Linked DNA regions of Rattus norvegicus. The protein of the gene in region 2 interacts with the protein of the main gene of each other region in a biochemical or structural test. Links are inferred from orthologs where the notes say so. Each region holds a gene or a part of one and is shown on either strand. Other genes may lie near its edges.

The links.
Region 1: the proteins of Scn8a (region 2) and Fgf14 form a complex in vitro, tested with the Homo sapiens proteins (2 studies listed by BioGRID). The link is inferred for Rattus norvegicus from reciprocal best matches to the Homo sapiens genes SCN8A and FGF14.

The regions. Positions count from the first base shown.
Region 1 is NC_086033.1:107,615,696-107,622,933, forward strand, and holds part of Fgf14 (fibroblast growth factor 14), read right to left. Parts: intron 4,118-7,238; coding exon 4,007-4,117; intron 642-4,006; exon of another isoform or gene 569-641; intron 464-568; coding exon 360-463; intron 1-359. UniProt on the Homo sapiens protein: Probably involved in nervous system development and function.
Region 2 is NC_086025.1:134,002,854-134,010,091, reverse strand, and holds part of Scn8a (sodium channel protein type 8 subunit alpha), read right to left. Parts: intron 6,014-7,238; coding exon 5,543-6,013; intron 5,280-5,542; coding exon 5,162-5,279; intron 4,583-5,161; coding exon 4,428-4,582; intron 2,396-4,427; coding exon 2,222-2,395; intron 1-2,221. UniProt on the Homo sapiens protein: Pore-forming subunit of a voltage-gated sodium channel complex assuming opened or closed conformations in response to the voltage difference across membranes and through which sodium ions selectively pass along their electrochemical gradient.

The DNA.
Region 1 (7,238 bases), on a different chromosome or scaffold from region 2:
GAGTAAAATGAATTACTAAAAGAAAATGTGGACAAATAGTACTTCTTTTGAAAGTCTCCAAAACATCTATAAAGAGAAATGAAAGCATAATAACACCACATTTTTCAATTCTACTTTGAACTAGGTTGTGCTTCAAAATGTGGCAAAGACATTTCCAGATACAAGATTACTATTTTTCCAGATGTGCCCATCACCAAACACTGATGAATAATTAATAACAGCTTCTGCAGTAGTGAAATAAGGACCAAATCTTAGTCAACACGTCAGAATCCAGGCACACACATCATTAGCTTTTGTTGCTACGCTTGCTATTTTACTATTACTACAGTAAGGGCCAATATCATTAATGTGATACTTACTGATGGGTAGAGGTAACCTTCTCCATTCATTGCTATGTACAACCCTGTCTTCACTCCCTGGATGGCAACAACACGCAGTCCCACTGGGATGAGGTTGAACAGAGCTGTTGAAGATAAAGGTAATCTGTCACTAAGCGGTAAATGGAGCAATGCATTTCAATAATACTTCCCCCTTTACTTTCTGTTATTTAAAAAACACATAATAGGGGTTGGGGATTTAGCTCAGTGGTAGAGCGCTTGCCTAGGAAGCACAAGGGCCTGGGTTCGATCCCCAGCTCCAAAAATAAGAACCAAAAAAAAAAATCCATAATATTTCTATTTTACAAGTTGACTAAAGAATTTTATGATGAAGAAGCTTCTGCTAAATGAAAAAAAAAAAAGAGCATCTCAGTTTCAGGTTTCCCACAGAAGGCTTGCTCACAACATTTTGAAGGGTTTGGGGGACAGAACAGAATCAAGCCTGGAATTTTGCTTCTATTATCCAAGTCTCTGACCCTACTATATTTCAGGAAAAAAATCATCTGTGGATATTCTCAAGGCACAGAATTTAAAACTCCAACTTTAAAGTTGACTATCATTTTCTACACAGTATAACTAGGTATTTCAGTGCAGCATAGACCAGAAGTCCAGAAGTAATTCTCAAACTAAATTACTTTGGCAGAAGCTACATGAGACGCCAGAAAATCCAAGAAAAGATGTATACCTGCCCATGGGATAAGCTTAAAAGGTGTCAAGAAGATGAAATAGCATGTTATTTTCAAGAAAGACTTTTATTTATTGGTATTGTATAAAGCTATAAATAAACATAAAAGTATAATATGCTGTTTTATATTTCTGATAATTTAAAAATCCAGCTATATTTTTATGTTTTCTTCCCTTCTAATAAAGTATTTAATGTACTTTTATGAAGTATATTCAACAATATCATTTTAGATATTGTCAACCATAATATGTCTAGCATGCTTATACTACTCAATGAGGCTTGCATTAGTATTCTTAGTGCAAGTGTTATTGACAAGAAAGCTATTAATTAACTGCTCTCATTTAACTCCTTAACTTGATTTTACTTCTGAGCAATGGGAATAGGCATTAGCTCTTAACACAAATGTATGAATAAAATGTCTTATCTTTAAGTCTTCAACTTTTTTACAGAAGACATGTCACTTGAAAATGATATACAGTTTGATTTTATTCTAAGGCTACTCAGTACATAATTAAAAAGTAATTTTGAAGGTTTTGTTCTGTTTTTCTTTTTCAAGATCATACTACGTATGATGGAGAAAGCTAGGTTCTCTTTTGCAATAATTACATATTTCTATTCTCCAGATCATACCATATCTGCACCTCAAAGGAAAACAGCAGGACATGGTCGTGATAATTACCCATAGATTAATTTGCGGTCCCACAGGTGGATAGTTGAGTGTTGCTTACAATATACAAAGTAACACTGAACTGTCTTCAACTGGATTCTAGAAGGTTATGACATATAGAAAAAAGTTTTAGACCTTTTTATTTGTTATTTGGTGTTGAATATAGTATGGTGCCATTGAGAACTAGGCTTTGTCCTGGAAATTCTGTTTCTGTTTTGCATGTGAAACTTATGTTTGTTTTTATCTTTATTATCTCCCTAAAATTTGAAAGGAGGGACACTGTAGGATAATTCCTAAGCTCCATGCAGAATTTTAAGAGAGAACATAATCTTGTATATGTTTACCTAACCTGATAATTTCCAACCTATTTACTTTAATCTCTGTATCTTGATTTAAAAAAATGTTGTAGCTTTTGAATATGTCATGTCAACTATATGGTATAATTCCCAAAGGCAAGAGTAATATGAATATAATATAGTATAAGAAGTAGAAAAGTTCTAAAATATAGCCTAAAATAACCTTAATAAAAATTACACTATCTTTCTTTCCTTGGGATTTTGTCAGGGAAAATGCCAGCAATTATCATTTACAAATTAACAATGTGGAGCTGACCATGGAAAAAGAGTGGTACTAGTTAAGAACATAGATAAATTATTTTTCACTCTCCTTGAATTTTTATAATTACAAAGCAATGAGGCAAAACCTAGTGGAATAAAAATAAAGATGTCCCTGTGATTGTGTTTCTGTTGTAGAACTCTCTGGTCTGCAACTAGATTTCAACCCTGGCTGTACATGAAAATGGCTGCGTTTATGAAATAAAATGACCATACCCAGCCCTGAACCAAACAAGTCAGAATCTCTAGGGCTAGGTTAAGGACACAAGAAAAGTGTCTTAAGTGCTCCTCAAATGAACTTAGACTACAGTTCATGTGAGAACCCATTCTAAACCCTTTGAGGGGTGGGTGATGTGATGACGCTTGTATATTTCAGACAGTCAGATCTAACTATGCATTCACACTATGTATACCTCACACCCTCACATGTTGCCAGAAAAAGAAAAAAGCAAAGAGGAAGTTCTTTCCTTCAGGTGTAGTTATTTTTGTTTCTTTTCCTTTGAAAACTTTTGTTATGATTTGTGCAGATAATGACACTCAATATCTAATTCTATAAAAGAATTTTATTTATAAATCTCTACCAACAGCTGTTTCTTTTCTGTGTTGCCTGTGCCTGAATTATCTTTCTTCTCTTTTCCTAATAAGAAATAAAATATAAATAAATAAATAGGAAATAATATAGGGGTAATTTTTAAGACAAAAGTGGAAGAGACAATAGAGAGAAGGATTTTTTATTTATAAAAAAAGAAAAGGAAGATTAATAAGAAAAATGTATATATAATATTATTTGAAGGGAGTAAAGCAAGTTACCGAAAATTACCAGTATAAACACACTCTTCATAAAAGTCAGCTCACTTCAGATATAAGGATACCAAAAATACTAATATTTCACATAGAAGCATGATGTATAAAACAACTTATTTCATGTCATTAACTGTTCTCAGAATCTCTGCCTGAGAACCTGATGAGTGGAACTAAAACATGAAGAACTGATGATTCCATTACATGGAAAAGGTCTTCCTTTCTTTTCATGGAGTATAGTCTATTGTGAAGAGAATGTTAACTTGACAGGAAGTCATCATTGCTCATGACCTAAGGATTGTATGTATGTCCTGGAACTGAATCTATCAAAACCCATTTGGACATTTTTCTAAACCTAGCAATAAAAGGTGAGTGTGTGTGTGTGTGTGTTTGTGTGTATGTGTGTGTGTTAAAAGTAATGTGCAAATAGAGGAAATTACAGACCAGTATAGGAGAAAACTGTGAAAAATGTAACGAGTATAATATAAAAAATACCAAATAGAAGGGAAATATTAATATTACAAAAGATACATAGAGTTTTAATGTTCACAGACCCTATGGTATAAGACAAATGTTTTATACAATGTGTTTATACATACAGAGCCTGAAGAATGCCCTCTATGCAGAAGACATTAACTTTTATACTGATACATGTGTGTACCTAACTGTTATAATCAGATGAACAGTGATATTGTGGACATAACCATTGCTTGAAAAAAACAAAAACTCAGTTTAACACCACAGGTCTCAATGAAATGATGCACGCAATCTAGTGGGCAACTAGAACCAAGCCAACAGGACCAATCACTTCCAAACACATCTCACAAAGCCATTTGTGTAGCAGATTTGGTTGGTCACTTACTGGAATTGGTGCTGTCATCCTTAGTTCCATCGAGAGCTCCATCGGGGTGCATCTGCAAGTAGTAACCTTGCCTGCAATATAACCTGGTCACTATGCCCTTGAGCTGGGGATCTGAAAGGCAAACACAGGGGTAATCAGATTCACAGGGCTGCAAGGGAGAGTTGGATTGTTCTCCTTCTTTTAAAAAAATTTCATGTTTCTTCTTCAGAAGATGACATTTTATAAAGGGTGCACATTTCCCCAGACTTGTCTGGGTCATGATAGCCAGATTACACAAACCACCACAATTAAAGCAAGCACAATAATAAGCTTCAGAAAATAGGGCATTTCATAAAACTAGCATGTGTATTTTCATTATTCATTAGATGGTTAAACTAATTAAATCATTAGTTTAATTACAACTTTAACCTCTAATTATTATAAACTAATTCTGTCATTCGGGGTGGCAATTCAAGAGTTTTGCAGTGGAGTGACTCAGAAACTTCGTTCAAGGTTTCAAATGAAGTTTTCATTTTACTTAAACTGACAACCTATAAGTGAGAGAAAACTGTATTTTAAAAAATTATGTTAAAATGTGATGTATATCTTTAATAAAATCCCCAGTTTGGACAATACCCCCTACCCTCAGCTTTCATGGAAGGATTTGTGGTGTTTATAAATGATATACAAAAGAGTCAGACATTTCACTTCTGAACTCAAAGTGAGACCTAGAATCAAAGGACACAGGAGATTGATTGGGCTTGGCTCAGCACTGCAGTGGATGCCTTGCATGTACAGGACCCAGCATTGCTGAAGCAAAACAAAATAAAACAAAACAAGAAAAGACAAGACAATACAGCAAAATATGACAATACATTAATCTACATAGGAATCAACTCTAGGACAATGTCCTGGTTAAGTTGTAAATGAAACAAGCAAGCTCTTTATTTATATAACTGAATAGAACAGCTGAGTTTTGTGTGTGTGTGTGTGTGTGTGTGTGTGTGTGTGTGTGTGTGTAAGTATGTATGTATGTATGTATGTATGTATGTATGTATCATTCGATTCTTGGACATCATACATAGAAGTAAAGGGAGGTGGGCATTCACTATAACTAAAGGGGAAGCTATGTATTGGGGTCTTCTCACTTAAAGACTTTAAGAAAAGATAGCTGCCTGGTAATTCAGTGTTTCTCTAGAAGCTAAGAAAATAAATGTATTTAAGAAAATAAATATTTGCATGTGGCTTTGCAAAGGTCATGCTCATTTTGGAAGCATAGCTGATATGGGACATCATAACTCTCATGGCAACAGCCTTTTCTCCACAGCAGCTGAATGGAACATGGAAATTTGTTTGTACTGTCCAAATTGCAGGATGCAATGAGCAATCCGACACATAGTCTTTAACACAGACTAGCCAACAGGCAAACAGAAACAACGAACAGGCCAAACAAGCAGATTTGCCCACAACAGAACAGCTCTGGGATTTTGAACAGCTTTTCAGAAATGAAAAAAATAATCAATCCAAGTCATTGTTCTTATTCATACGGCTGCACCAAGAACATTTACTTTATAGATGAGATGATGAATTGGACACAAATAACATTCTGGAAAGTAAGCTAACATTGAGGTATGATAACGTCACTGTAACAAGCATGTTAGAAGACAGGTGTGTTTAAAATACTGATTAAAAAGGTGTGTAAAAAGGGGATATCTAAGTAATTATTAAGATTGTGTATATACCTGTTTGGTTTTGGACCCTGAGACAAGGTGCATGTTTTACACATCAAAGCAGACCTGGCCTCCACCTTCTACCAGCATCTCTCAGTCCCTACCTGGCTTCAACCCTGAACTTTCCAGTCCAGGAGCTGGACTGCCCTTTCCCCAGTAATCTAGTCATTTTTATTCCCCTTCTCTATTTCTCTCTCCTTTTCTTCTCTGCACATGAGCATTATCTCTTTCTTTTCTCTTCCTTCTTTCTCTTTCTCCCTCTCATGGCAACTCCTTAGGGCCAGTGAGCTCACCTAAGAGCAGCTTCCAATCAACTTGCATTTAGTATAAACTAATCTGGCTTGAGTTGGTTTATTTCACCAGTGGAGAAATAATTTATCAATACTTTCTTCTATAACAAATAATCTCAAAATTCATAATCCCATAATTCTGCTTTGTCTTTTTCATTCTTTTGTTCTGTCAGAACACTGAACCCATGGGATAATACGGCCTCCATTTAAAGTACTTGTTCCCCTGCAGTTAATCCTTTCTGGAAATTCCCCTCACAGATATAACCAGAGACATGCCCAACCAGTCTCCTAGATAAGTCAATCCAGTCAGGTTGAAATTAATGGTTAAGGTTAATATTAACCATTGCTTGACTCTTAATTGCCACTTTGTTGCTGTTGTTTGCTTGGTTGGTTTTGTTTTTATTAATGAAAATAAATGTTTCTCCATACAATATATTCTGATCATGTTTCCACTTCCTCAACTCTTTCTAAAATTTCATACTTCTGAGATAAGTTTAAAAGAATATAGCCCCCCATCCATCTCTTCAACATGCCCTGCCCACTGCAGTCCTGTACCTGGTATTGGTTGCATTTCTTACGCTCTTATCTGTACATTGGTAGCAAGAAAAATAATGAACAGTGATATTGCAGATATGGCATATGCCTTTAATCCCAGCACTCAGGAGGCAGAAACAGACAGTTCTCAGTGAGTTCAAATTTAGCCTGGTCTACATAGTGAATTCCAGGATAACTACATCTATATATAAGTATATATATATATAGATGTATATATACTTATATAAGTATATATATATAGTGAGACCCTGTCTCAAAAATAAACAAAAATATAGCTAAAAGGATGGAAAAATTTATTAGTGCCTGTGAACATAAACAGAGAATTTTACAGTCCAGTTCTGTAAAATCCTTGTGTTCTGTCGGCATTTATTTTAAATAGTACCACATTCTAGCCGCTAGTTTTTCCAGAGTTTAGTTAAATAGATCAGTCAGGGCAGGAAGATCCTATAACCTAGCACACAGCTTCCCTTTACTCACACGGTGAGCCCTTATGAACCATACCTCATCCTTATTATGAGAATAACAATAAAACACAAAATTTTATTTTCTAGTGTTCATTTAATAATAAAAGCAATCTAATTTGAATGTACCTGTTTACACAGAACTTGGTATTTTTATTTTTAAAAACTAATAATTACATTTGTCCTTGGTTGTCAGGCATTGTTCTATAAAAACCTG
Region 2 (7,238 bases):
AACATCAGACACATGAATAATGGACAGAGGGGTGTGGTTCCTGTGAGAACCCTGTTCCCACGGGCTGAGTTACCTCAGCACAGCTAGGTGAGAGCTGCTGCAGAAGCTGGCACAAGCTCCCCAGAGCTGGGCCCTGCCGCCTTGTCCTCCTGGGACTCCTTATGAACTAAGGCCGTTCAATGCAGAGTACGTATTTAATTCATGCTGATTACCAGTGACTGCTGAAGAGCCATTCAGAGCCACTGTGGGACCCGCAGCAGTAGATAATCCAGCACCTTCGGAAAGCTGGAGGAACTGATGGGTTACAGTCAATTAGCAAACACTCGGTTTACTGCTTTGCTTTCTTTCTGCTGAGTATAAAGAAAACCCTTGATAAATAAGTGCTGGCCTGGGTTTAGGCGCATGTGACATGCCTGATTGTATCCTTGAGTATGGGGTTGCTCAGCCCAGAGAGGAAGTGGTAAGTTGGGGTTGACCACGGAGGAAAGGGAAGCGCTGACCCAGACCACAGTTCTTCTTGGGCAGCTAGACTGTGGTAGAGGACCTATCTGTCTGCATCCTCATGAAACCCGAGAGAGAAGGGGTTTCTGTGGGCATCTTCCTGAGTCCAGGTGCCCAAGAGTTACTGTGCATGTCCCCTTCTCTAGGAAGAGAGGTGGCCTAGCTTCAGGTGTCATCTCCTATTTTCCCCACAGCTGCTTAAGTGTCTAGGTCTGCTAACTGCAAGGACCGCCCCCTTTCCCTGGGGTTTGTCAACCTGACCACACCTGGAGTTAAACCCCAACACCGAGGGGTACACCTGTGAGTGGCCTCTGCTTAACTGAAGGGAAGACTCACTTCTAATACGGGTCTCTGAGGTGGAAAAACACACCTTCAACCCAGATCTTCCAGGTGGGAAGGCTGTCCTCTAATCTGGGCCTGGTGCTGGGAGCCTAGACAAGGATATGGAGGAAGGAAGGTCTGCTCTTGGCCTGCTTGTTCTCACCTCATTTGTTCTCACCTTCTCTGGCATCAGAGCCTGGTTCCTCAGGATTCTGGGGAACACTGAAGACCAGCACAGATGTCCAGCCTTTTGGACTGGACAAAGACTGGATTCTTAGAACTTCTGTTCATAGGCAGCCATTGTTGGACTAGCTGGACCATAGCCTGTAAGTCACTCTAATAAATTCTATCTATCATCTGTTGTCTGTCTTCTATATTCACTGTATAAGTTCTGTCAGTCTAGACAACCCTGATGAATACACCTAGCCTCCTGAAATAGGAGAGGATGAGACAATGTTAGTTCCTGGAAGCACTCATTAGCCACAGATGCTGAAGAGAACTTGGGAAGGGAATGTGTTTATGAAGAAGTCATTGCTGGTGCAGTACTGAAAGATCTCCCAATAGATCTGTCCTAGATTCCATAGGAATTACACAGGCAATTCGCCAATAGCCCACGAAGTCTCTTCGAAACACACCCACTCAGGCTTCAGCCTCTAGGTCCTTCATCCCAGCCCCAGGATGAATTCTCTGCAGCCTCGGTACTGTGAGTCTCATGCACCCTTTCTTTAAATGAAGCAAGAGAAAAGTTTTAGTCACTGCAGAAAGTGGAAGACAGTCAGAGTTAGTGCTGGTGGGGTGAGAACCAACTGCTGCTGCTTCCAACCTGAAAACAACACAGGAGCCCGAGGTCACGAAGCTGTGGTCATACAGCCTGGAGGACGAATGTTTTCATTTGGTGATCACAACAGAAATGGCCACACCTTAGGCTCTTCTCCCCAGGGGAAGTGACTTGACTGGCACATCTGGGAAGTATCCACGGCATGGACAGGAGCCACAGACCCCAGCCCCAATCCCCCCACCCTACCCTATCCCCAGACCCCACCTCGTTCCTGTAACCCACGTTAGCCATACACCCTGCCTCCTGCCCACGCCCCGCCTCATCTCAGAATCCCATCTCATGGTAGCAGAAAGGGAATGTCCTGTAGTCATAGGGCAAGAACCTTCTGATGTCTAGGCTAAAGACAGGGAGGGGACTTTCTGAATCTAAATAAGCCAGGCCCAGTGGCACGAAGGACAGGACAGGCTCTGGGGCAGGGCAGGGTCTTCAGAGGTCCCGTCCTCCAAATAAGAGCTAACTGTCATAAGAGGACCTGCACCCAAGCCTGCAGGGACACACTGATTGCTAAGCTAACCCCAGCTCCTGCTACAAAGGACAAGGAATGGGTAACTGGACACCTACAGCCACAATGAGGAAGTCCAACCAGCACCAGGCATTGGTGAAGAACTTGACGAAGCCGTAGGCTGTCCACTTGAGCAACATCTCCAGGATGAAGATGTAGGTGAAGACCTTGTCCGCATACTCCAGGATGGTGCGGATGGTCTTCCTCTGCTCAATGTAGATGTCCTCAAAGGCCTGCAAGAGATGCAGCGGCTGCCGAATCAGGGCAGTGTGCCAGCGTCGCAGCTCCTCACACAAGCTGTCCGCCATCAGGTTCCCACTCCTCCACTCTGATCCCCCGCTTCCCCTCCTTGCTTATTGGTTAGTGATGCAGGGGACTGAACCCAGGGCCGGGTATATGCAGGCTAACCACTAAGTCCAGGAAAGTATTTTATTGAGAAATAATTTATATCCCATATTTAAATTCAGTGGCTTTTAGGATATTACATATTCATCATATACATTTATAACATTTTCATTATCCCACATCTTCCAGCTGTTACCTTCTGGACCCCTCATTCTGTTGGTCCTCAGTATACTAATCTGCCTTTTTGGGGGCATTTCATACAAGTAAAACGATCCAATACTTTTTTTTTTGGTTCTTTTTTTCGGAGCTGGGGACCGAACCCAGGGCCTTGGTGCTTCCTAGGCAAGCGCTCTACCACTGAGCTAAATCCCCAACCCCCGATCCAATACTTTTTTTGTGTGTGCCTGGCTGCTTCTTATTTTTTAAAGATGTATGTATGTATGTATGTATGTATGTATGTATGTATGTATGTACACTGTAGCTGTCTTCAGACACACCAGAAGAGGGCATTGGATCTCATTATGCATGGTTGTGAGCCACCATGTGGTTGCTAGGATTTGAACTCAGCACCTCTGGAAGAGCAGTTAATGCTCTTAACCGCTGAGCCATCTCTCCAGCCTCAGGGCTTCTTTTTTTTTTTTTTTTTTTTTTTTTTTTGGTTCTTTTTTTCGGAGCTGGGGACCGAACCCAGGGCCTTGCACTTCCTAGGTAAGCGCTCTACCACTGAGCTAAATCCCCAGCCCCAGGGCTTCTTATTTTTATAAAAAAATTATTTTCTTTCCAATCATGTGTCTGCATGTGTGTTTGTGTAAGGGTATGTGTGCAGGAGTGCAGGTGCCCATGAAGGCTATGTTGTATTGCCTGTACCTGAGTTACAGGCAGTTGTGAACTACCTGATATGGGTGCTAGGAACCGAACTCAGGTCCTCAGGAAGAATAGCTTGCATTCTTAATGGCCGAGCCACCTCCTGACCCCAAAGCCTGGCTTCTCAAAGTTCTCAATCTATCTCATAGTTCAGCGTGTGTGGATGATTCACTCTTCAAGGAGGAACACGACTCCAAGGTATGGAAACACTGTGGTCTGTTTAACGATCATTACTTGATGGACACGGGCTGTTTCTACTTTTAAGCTAGTATGAATAACTCTGCTATGAGTGTTTGTGTTTGATTGGCAATGTGTTTTCAATCCTTTAGGGTGTGTGATTAGGAACAGAACTTGCTGCTAAGTCCTTAACATTGGGAGGAACTAGGAACTGTTTACCAACATGGCCACAGGACTTCACATGCAGGACATCAGGAGGGTGTGAGAGTTCCAGATGCTCACACCCTTGCCCATTGTTTATCAGATTTGACAAGATCCTTTCTGTTAGCTCCTCTATGCCACAGATATGGGGCAGGGGGCGGCCTGGGTTGGGAGAGTCTTCTCTCTCTAGGGAACTCATGAAGGAGGTAGTCCCTCCTATTGCATGATGGTGGACTATGTAGTTGTGGTGCTTGGAGGGAGCATGATGGTTACCTGTGGTTGGGAGAGTAGAAAGGCACACCTGTAGGTGTGTCAGTGAGAGCAGTTCTAGGGGAGAAATGAAGAGTGAGCAGTCTGGATGTGGAGAGGGATACTGGCCCATCTCAGGAGGCTGTCTGGGGTAGGGCAAAGCTGGCAGTGGCAGGTTTGTCTTCAATCCCATGCAAAGAGCACTGCAGGTTCGGGGGTGGGGGTTATCTTAAGGTCAGATGTGAAGAAGGGTGGATTCTAGACTCAAGAGCACTATATATATCCTGGCCAGCTCAAATCTCTTGAACAAATTCCTGTTCTTGGGAGCTCTCTACCCCTTCAAAGACTGGTAACCTCACCCAGCCTCGGTTCCCTGTTTCTTTGTACCCTTCCCCCACCAGCTGCTAGTCATTCTCCCTTGACTCTCACCAGGGCGCCACTGCTGAGCAGAATCATGAAGATGATGAAGGTCTCAAACCAATTGTGCTCCACAATGAGGAAGCAGGTTTTCCGCAAGATCCACCACGACTTGCCTAGTCCTTCCTCGATGTTGACCTGGCAGCACTTGAACCGCTGGACGCAACCTGGAAGCAATGGGAGAGTCGGGTCAGACTGGACCCTTGTGCGGCCTGACTGGTCCCTTTCCAGGCTCCCACTCCACAGTAGGGAGGGTAGCCGCTGAATATGGTGAGAATCGCTGAAGCTATGTTGCAAGGGTAATAAAAAGGCAGGACTTCTGGAATCAGGAAGATCACTACAAGGAAGCAGTGAGAGGGTTGGGAGGAGGCTGGTCAGGTCAGGAGGCAGGCACAGCACACCACGGAGGCCTTTCTAATGGCAGTCGGGCACAAAAAAAATCTAGACTGGAAACTTGTATGTCAGAACTGAGTAAGGGAAATGATTAAAAAATATTTATTAAAAACCAACCTGCACCAAAAATGGCACAAGTCTACAGCGCCTCCAAAATGGTGCTCGTCCACAGCACCTCCAAGATAGCGCGCGCGCAGCCATCGCGCCTCCAAGATGGCGCCCAACCACAGCGCCTTCAAAATGGCGCCCAACCACAGCGCCTCCAAAATCACGGGCAGCCACAGCGCCTCCAAAATGGCGCCCATGACTAAACAGCACACAGGTCATGCACAACCTTTCCCTGTCCCTTTTACCCTCTGTAAAGCAGGCGTCCGGATCCAAGTATTCCTCAGGTTGCTCCACGGGAACTTCTTCCACCTCAGGCTTGATGTCGATGGTACTTCCTTCTGAGGAGCTGGTATCGTCCAGTTTCTAGACAGGAAGGAAGAGGATGGGTCAGGGAGCTGTGCAGGAACATGTCCCGTGATCATGTGTACGTGACCTCAGCTAGGGGTCACGCACAGACAGACACTAACCGCGGGGTCAGGTGGATTAAGAGCAGGGACAAACTAAAGGGTTGATTGACTCCAGAATCCATGCAACTAAATCTGGACTAGCCCAGGGAGCTCGGTCCCCAAGGGGAGACCTAGCCTGACCCTGGGGCGCTGGGCTGGTTTTCTTGGCTGGGACCTTACATCTTTGCTGCCTTCAGGGTCTGATTCGCTGCTAACATCCTCTGTGTTGAGGTTCTCGAAGTCAGACTCGCCCACAGCAATGGGCACCCGGACGGTCAGGTTTGGGTTGTTAATGAAGGACATGTGGTCCTCGTCGATGATGTACTTCTCCACGCTGCTGCCGATGCCGCTGGTGGTTCCGTTCCCGTTCTTCTGGAAGTCGCCGTTCCGGTGGATATCCACGCCCGTGTGGTTGGCGATGCAGTTGGCCTTCTTCTCATACAGCTCGTCGAGGGGTTTCACTTCATCCGCCTCCCGCTGCTTGAAGTGAGCCTGCATGAAGGCGTGCACCTTCACTTTGGTCCAGGCCACGCCCTTCTTGATCCGGATCACTGAGATCTGCAGGTTGTTCATTTCCCCGTCGTCGTCTGTGGCCGCCAGGTTGTCTGCGCTGAAGGAGCTCAGAAGCAAGGCCAGGAATAGGTTCAGCACCTACAGCAGCAGCAGCAGCAGCAGCAGAAAAAAGGAGCAAATGTGGAATTGTCTTGGGACGTTATCCTCTCTCCTCAGTGTGACAAATCAGAAGCCAACAGAGTCACATAGACTGCAAAGGGTTTCTGTGCTGTGTTGGCTCCTGTCATAATTCATTTTATTCATTTCTTTGTGCAAAAGATGAAATGCCTGACCTTGGGCATGCTTGCATGCTAAGTGTTCAGCCCCTCCCTGTGGTATTTTAAATGTTCACGACGCCAGATGGAAATTTCTTTCGGCTTTACGGTAAGGAGTTTTGAACTTTTCCTGGCTCTTCTCTACTTTTACGTTTGTATGATGATGCCCCAAATCTATTAATTTTCTTATGACAAGAGGGCAAAGGCTGTATTCTCTTTGAAAGAAAAAAGATAAAACCGAAAATGCCTGAATGGATGACTGAGGAGGGCAGATGAGTGCACGGAGTCATGTGTTTGTGATAGCAGGTATCTCAAAGGACCCGTGTTAGAACAATAAAATTAGGTTTCCAGAGCCATACTTTCATAAACAAACCAAGAAGGCAAAACTGAAATATGTATGCCACCTTCCCTCAAGGGTGTGTTCTGGAGCACTTTAATGTGCGAGGCCCTGTAACATATTAACAACTAAGCAAAAAGGAGTGAGTTATCTCTGCTTCCCCGGTGTCTACAAAAATCCCTTTTCTGGAAGCAGGGACAGAGCCTATAAACTGGCCACATCCAAAGTTAAGGTAGGGACACCAGAGCTAGGAGTTCAAAGTCTGAGCAGGATGCTACACCGACTTCAGTCTCTCCTGCAGAGCCAGACGCCAAGCCGTGAAATGCAGGCTTTGTTTAAAGCCCCTATTTTGCCATGTTGGATAACACACACTACTGTTTGGGTCTCATTACGTAGCCTAAACTGGCCTTAAACTCACGATCCTGATGCCTCAGCCTCCTGAGTGCTGGCATTACAGGTGTGAACCACCCAGCTTGCTAACTGCTGCAGAATGGAGGGGTGTAAGTGGTGACCGAGATCTCAAGGAGTCATTCCTGTTAGCTACACCAGAAGGCTGGGCAGAGACAGAGATGGGCTGGTACAGTCTGGTCAGCTGGAGGCAGGTGCGTGGATATCTGGTAACACACACACATCTCCCCCGCCTACCCAGGTACAGGGCCTGGCTCCACCTTTTATTTATTTATTTATTTTTAACTGAATGAACCTTGTGTGA